2 linked regions of the Daphnia pulex genome follow. The protein of the gene in region 1 interacts with the protein of each later gene in a biochemical or structural test. Links are inferred from orthologs where the notes say so. Each region holds a gene or a part of one and is shown on either strand. Other genes may lie near its edges. The genes, in order: mitogen-activated protein kinase kinase kinase 7-like and TGF-beta-activated kinase 1 and MAP3K7-binding protein 1-like.

Region 1 (2,371 bases):
TAAAGATGATATCAAAGGCGATAAAGTTTTATGCTGGGAAAGTATATGGATTATATAGGTTATTATATGGCAAAAGAAATTCGAGCTAAAAGAAAGCTAGTCTTTATATGAGAAAATGAGACTACTGAATGTAAATATTATGAATCTTATTTTGGCCCTTATTTTTTATTATTAGGCGTAACATTCTACTAGGCTATCTCAAATATAATTTAATCAGATGGTTGCATGCATGCAACTATACTTTTTAAAAATTGTTGACAACGATATCGCTGACGCACACGATAAATATATCGCCGTCGCCTTGGCCGTCGCTGGTTAATAAGGTAGTAGCAGAACTTTCATATGTGACGATTGAAGTGTAACCGCCCACAGTCTGGAGAAACCGCGATGACGAATGTGGCGTAAAAAACGAAAGAAATCTCATGCGATGAAAGAAGCTAATTCAGTTTGCTTTTTTCCTACATTAATTACACGGACATGCAAACAAAACAACAAATATATTTTTTTAAATATTAATAACTGCTGGCAGCTGTTCTCACGCTTTAACGATTCGATCAAGGACTTTATAGTTGTTTGATTTAAAATATTATATTTTTTTGTTTTCAAATATTTTCCCGAAACTTTCATCTGCATGGTGCAGAATGTCCGCTCTGCCAAGTTTGGCGCCAACGAAGGAGGAACCTTTAAGTCTCCCGAACCAAAAAAAATGTTTTGGCTTACTTTCAAATGTTGTCATTTAGCGAAGGATTTACTCTTTTAATTTGTGTGACAATTCAAGCATCCAAGAATTCCATTCTATTTCAAGCGGACATTCATGACAACTTTTGGACATTGAATTCGTTTTTTCGAAAGATAAAAACAAACATGTTTATTTATGTTTCGTCTTCGTCTCGTCCTGAACGGCACCTATCATGGATGGATTTTGTTTATAGTCAACAGTCTCGTGGGCGAAATATTCGAATGAAAAGAGGTTATTTAAAAACTGGAACTGAAAAAAAGAAATGAAGAAGAAGAAGATTTGGGATCTCGTAATCCTTGCCTTGGGGCGACGATAGGCTGCGGATATATGTCGTCCATCGCACACTTCACACAAACAGCACCTTAACTGCAAGCTAAATCTAGCCAAAGTGTGGCCGGTCTCAAGCCAAACCTATAAGGCCACAAGAAAAATTTGGCGGCATCCGCAGAAAACCCTCTCAACCCCCGGTCGAATATTTCCGGGTGACTTGGGAAAAGAACTTGACACAGCATCTAACAATAAAGTATGGATGAAATGGGGAACGGTTTTACACGATAAATATATCAGAACAGTGAAAGACAAAATAACAGTAATTTTTCAGAACCAACTCGGCACCGTCATTTTTCAAATACCTAAAGGAAGAAAAATTTTAAATTAATTTGACGACGAGTCAGAAAAAATTTATAGAAATGATTTTACGCGAAAGAACGACCCAACCATCGTCAGGCAAAGGAGACGATCTTGATTGATCATTAGGCTGTGGAACTTGTCGCTGTTGTTGTTGCTGCTGCTGTTGTTGTTGCTGCATTTGGAGTTGTTCTCGATGAACTTTGCTGAGCTGCTCTGTAAGATTTCGTTGAAATTCGAGGAGGCTCTTTTTTTCACTTTCGAGCCGGACAAATTCTTCCACCGATCGCTGCAATTCCGACTGTTCAAGCGGCTGTTGACTAGTTCGCCGCTGCTCCGTCTGTTGTTTCTTTGTCTCTTCCAAATGTTCAACCAGCTCGTTGCAATATTTGGTCATCCACTGCAGCTCTTTCTGCACTTCCAAATATTCCTTTGCCATCTAAATTTCATGACAAAACAATGTTAGTCACGGAAAACAATTCCGGGATTGATGTGACCAACCTTTCGATGTTCTTCGTAGACCCTCATCGATACTTGACTAGTCGGGCATGGTGGGATAGGCCTCAGCGAGGGATGCAACAGGAAAAAGATTTCGTCAATGGGCTGCTCTCCAATGACATGATTCGTTTCACCTGCAATTCAAAAGAAAACAATACAAAAATCCAGTGAGGCGAATTTTCAGGCTGCCAAAATATCCGCAAGGTTTTTTTTTCTCTTCACGACGTAGTAATCTGATGCCTAAAAAGAGGCAGCTCACGTACAATAGAGGAAACACCAATAGTGCCAGCACAAGATTTCAATGTCGGTCACTTCGTCGCCGAGTTGCGACGCAACCGACTCCATCGCCGCCATGAGAAATTCCGCCATTTGATCACTAAAAGCCATTTGCATGGCGGTTTTATTCGACGAGAATTCGGTCAGATTTCGGCTCACCGTGTTCGAACCAGCGTGTTGACTGAAGGACCCTTTCCAACGAGACCTTGGGTTCCCTCTCTCTTTCTCCCG
Region 2 (4,303 bases), on another chromosome or scaffold:
CACGACGCCATAGTTGACTAAACAGTAAATAAATTTAAACATTATTATTAAACATTAACAGGCATATTAACACATGGAAAACAAAAATATAATTGATAAAAAACTCAATGTAAAGACAGAATATTTACCCATGGTTGCGAACTGGCAATACGGTGAAGAATGCAGATGGTGAGTGCGCTGCAGTTGTTGCCGTGTCGGATATGCTCACTCGACTGATTTTCCTTCAGTTTTTCTCTCTCCTTTTATACTATTTTTTTTCTCACCCTCACCTCTAAAGCCTTGCGGGTGTTGTACCTGCTTGATAATGATGCAAAACGTCCGTCCTCACCCAACCTCTACACCACTGCATGACACGTTTTACGTAAACGTAATGATCTCCGTGACCTTCGAGTGTGACTGTCCTTTCCTTCTGCAGTTTGACGTTGCTGGGGATGGGTCCTACAACAACCAATATCAAAATGAATACCAAATGGTTATGTAACACGTGTCGTTCTCACCCAACCTCTACACCACTGCATGACAAGTTTTACGTGCCTTTCCTTCTGCAGGTTGTCGTTGCTGGGGATGGGTCTACAACAACCAATATAAAAATGAATACTAAATTAAATGATTATCGCTTAAAACTCACTTTATACAAATTTCGAACCGTTTGAAGGACAGTCGGCTTTTTTGAAAATATTCCTCTGTCAATCTTATCCAAGTTTCGAACACATGATCAATCCATATTCATTTCATGATGTCACTGTTTGTGATGAGCAATACTGGCGCCATGAGTCAGCATAGCAGAGAGGTAGAGGGAAAATCGTGGACTGAATCCTTCAGGTCCTCGGTTTCCCGTTCTTACATATCGAACAATTTCTTGGCTGCAAACAGAAACAGGGAATGAATTCAAGCCAATACTGTAGAAGAAATTTTTAATCTGAAACCACCTTCCTACCAAACCCAGTTAGAGCCCGTCTGCCTGCGGTAGTGATTATGGCAAAGATAAAGACCACATGTAATAAAACGAAAAAGTATAACATCAACATGTAATAAAACCAAAACTCAAATTGACTACAAAATAGAACAATTTCGAATCGAAATACGAATTACTCATTAAAGCATAATGTTTACACAGTTAAACATTTAGGGATCTCAATTCTCAATAACGTTGAACAATTCAGTATTCAGGAAAAATGTGCTCAATAACGAACATAAAAGCTTTAAGAAAGGCATATTGTGCATAGCACATCAAATCCATCAAATATACAATGGAGGTTCGATCTTCCTAGTAAAAATGTTCTTTTAGCTTGGAGTTAATCAAGTCATTTTTATTATAAGTTGACTATGACCATTTCCATAAAAATTGAAAAAGAAAAAGACAAATGCACAATACTAAAATAGTGAGATTCCAGCTGACGGGGGACCTAGCTGTTGCCAAAAGAGAAAAGACGAACTACGAAAACGAACTGCTGAATTTTAAAAATCAACCTTGGCGGGAAATATTTTTGTGATAGTTTTCAATGTGAATAGCAGATGGCGAGACCACTTTTGGTAAACAAACTAGCAGAAGACGACGCTTCGTTCACTAATCATTAGCACATTAGGTACTTCACATTTCTGTTAGGACTGACGATAGTGTTAAGTGTGGTGATAAGTATAACAGAATATCTACCCTACTTTAGCTTTAATGAACTCTGCATAATACTGCAAACCTTGATTAGCCATTCTAATGTCAGCAGAAATTTCTGAAACTAAAAGTTGGACAGACGACCTACCCGTTTGCTTCTACACAGGTTTTTAAATAAAGCAAAATCTTAGTCCGATAATTGAATGTGTCTTAACTTTCTTTTTGACAGGTGTGGGGTTATCAACAAATCAGATCTATAAAGAAGATGGCTATAGAAGAGAGGCCCGTGAATGTGAAGATAGAAGTTTCCACTTCAAAATTGATGATCACACATTCCTGTATGGAGTATTCAATGGGAAAGATGGATCTTCTGTGGCAGATTTTGCTGCACAGCGCATGCCTGCAGAAATCCTTCTTGGGCAGCTCAATGATAAAACCAGCCCAGAAGCTGTGAAAGAAGTCTTAAATGAAGCTTTCCTAGCAGTAGAGCGCAGCTATTTCGAATCAATTGATGACTTACTGGCTGAGAGAGCAAATCTTTTATGTGAATTACCTGAAGGTATTGTCTTATACAGCATGACCTGACATTTACCTTCTTTACAAAAACTCTAATCTTACTATAGGAATCAAATCATATGATGCATACCAACAATTTCCGGATATTGTGAATCGACTAAGAGCTGCTAATGTTCGGTTGTCTGCGAGTGCCTCAGCTGCAGTTGCGTTAATCTTTAATGGTTGGTACCACAACAGCTTCAGTGGTTCAATACTACAAGCATTTCTATGATATTCTTGTTGGTCACTTGTATAGGTCACTTGTATGTCGCTAATGTTGGAGACTGCCGAGCTTTATTATGTAAAATCGACGCAGAAGGAGTTTTGAGAGTAATGCAGCTAACGGTAGATCATGATTTGACCAACGAGGATGAAGTGCTCCGTCTGTCGCATATGGGACTTGAAGTGGAAAAACTTCAAAGTGATTCAATTATTTTTCTTTTTTAATCTCAGATAATTAATTGATTCAAAATGATTTGTGCAGATTTGCCGAGAAAAGGAAGTCATTTAACGACTCGTTGCTTGGGAAATTATACTGTTAAAGGAGGCTACAAAGATTTCGATCTCTTCAGTGCAGCTAAAGCGGAACCTGTTATTGCTGATGCTGAAATCATAGGACCTATTAATCTGGATGAGTCTTGCAGGTAAAAAAAAAAACTACGACAATTATCTAATTCCGTAACAACCATAGCCATCTACTGTTTTTCTCTTTATTAAAGGTTTTTACTGTTAACGACTCAAGGATTGTACGGAGCGTTAGAAGAAGCGACAAATAGCGAACAGGCTAACAAAGAAATTGCTCAGATTGTTGTGGAACAATTTGGATCCCAAAGCACTATAACGGGTGTAGCTCAAGGTGTTGTCGATCGAATCGCACGTATTCATCACGATCATTATATGGAAGTATGGAAGTTTACTACTCTTGTCTTGGGCAAAGCTAATTCTGATTTTCTTGGCATGAAATAGGACCCAAATCATGTCACTTGCTGTCAACGAGATGACATAACATTACTGATTCGAAATTTCAACTTTCAACTGTCTGCTCCACTGAGTGCAAGTAGCACACTACGTAGTTATAATACTTCCCTCAATGCATACAGCAATGATTCCTCAACGATGGGATTGAAATTTGACACTCAGCTAAACACACTGTCTTCTACAGTTGGCAATAGTATTAGTGAAACGCTTACTGAGGCTTCTATTACATCTTCAACAGAGAGTTCAGAGCAAATCAAGTCAAATCAATCTCAGAATATGCTCCTTGATGAAGATGGGAGGATTGGTCCCTACGTGGATTTCACCAACTTTTATCAAGCTGTCAGAAAAGCAAAAGATGAAGGCACGATTCCTGAGGATGCGATATACTAATTTATAAGTGTTTGGCTTATAATACTGATATGTACAGGCGAAATTACCCCAATAAAATTAACTTAAGATTTACCTTGATTTGCGAATACTGTCGAGTTTGCTGAAGTCTTTTCACAGTTGAAGATTCGAGGAATTATAGAAATGTTATGAATTCAGTGGACTAATTGATTTGATAACATCTTTTCGGAAAACACTTTTTGCTTCGTCACACGACACGAGGTCTGAACACACTGAGTGATTTAAATTTTCTGAGAGCAGTGAATCAGTAAATGTTTTTGCTGCAACAATGCCAGACATTTCTTTTTCAGTGTAATCATTTTCCGTGTCACATTCTGAGACCGCCTAAAGCAAATTCTTGTAAACCGCAGTATAAATTTCTTAGAGACTTTTATTAATACTTTCGTAATAATAAATAATTTGTGAAAAATGAATTACGGATGAACGGCGTTCAGCGTTCTCCCTCGAGTTTGACGATTTTATACCAGCTCCTAGTGCTGCTCTGTCGGAGGATGCCATTTTCTTCCAGGAATTTGACACGAGCGGCTATACCCTTAATAATGACACCGCATATCGTCCTGCTACCACAGTCAACTGGAATCTGGGAATTTGACCAATAAGACGCAAACCACATTCTATACTCCACGACTCAACGACGAGAAATGAATAAACCTCATTGAAGAAGACTTCATCTACACAAGTTTGAAGGAAACTAAATGATTTCGTTTCAACTGGCAAAGTGGAGAGAGAAAGTCTAAGCTGACGAAGCGAGAT

What was found.
Region 2: of the proteins of mitogen-activated protein kinase kinase kinase 7-like (region 1) and TGF-beta-activated kinase 1 and MAP3K7-binding protein 1-like, one has a biochemical effect on the other in vitro, tested with the Homo sapiens proteins (4 studies listed by BioGRID and IntAct). The link is inferred for Daphnia pulex from reciprocal best matches to the Homo sapiens genes MAP3K7 and TAB1.

What each region holds. Positions count from the first base shown.
Region 1 is NC_060025.1:3,031,475-3,033,845, reverse strand, and holds the end of mitogen-activated protein kinase kinase kinase 7-like, read right to left. Parts: intron 1,999-2,371; coding exon 1,868-1,998; intron 1,806-1,867; coding exon 1,439-1,805; intron 1,372-1,438; coding exon 1,364-1,371; 3' UTR 773-1,363; downstream 1-772. UniProt on the Homo sapiens protein: Serine/threonine kinase which acts as an essential component of the MAP kinase signal transduction pathway. Plays an important role in the cascades of cellular responses evoked by changes in the environment.
Region 2 is NC_060020.1:5,657,423-5,661,725, reverse strand, and holds TGF-beta-activated kinase 1 and MAP3K7-binding protein 1-like, read left to right. Parts: upstream 1-1,545; 5' UTR 1,546-1,711; coding exon 1,712-1,775; intron 1,776-1,838; coding exon 1,839-2,168; intron 2,169-2,232; coding exon 2,233-2,346; intron 2,347-2,420; coding exon 2,421-2,585; intron 2,586-2,648; coding exon 2,649-2,808; intron 2,809-2,883; coding exon 2,884-3,067; intron 3,068-3,130; coding exon 3,131-3,532; 3' UTR 3,533-3,604; downstream 3,605-4,303. UniProt on the Homo sapiens protein: Key adapter protein that plays an essential role in JNK and NF-kappa-B activation and proinflammatory cytokines production in response to stimulation with TLRs and cytokines.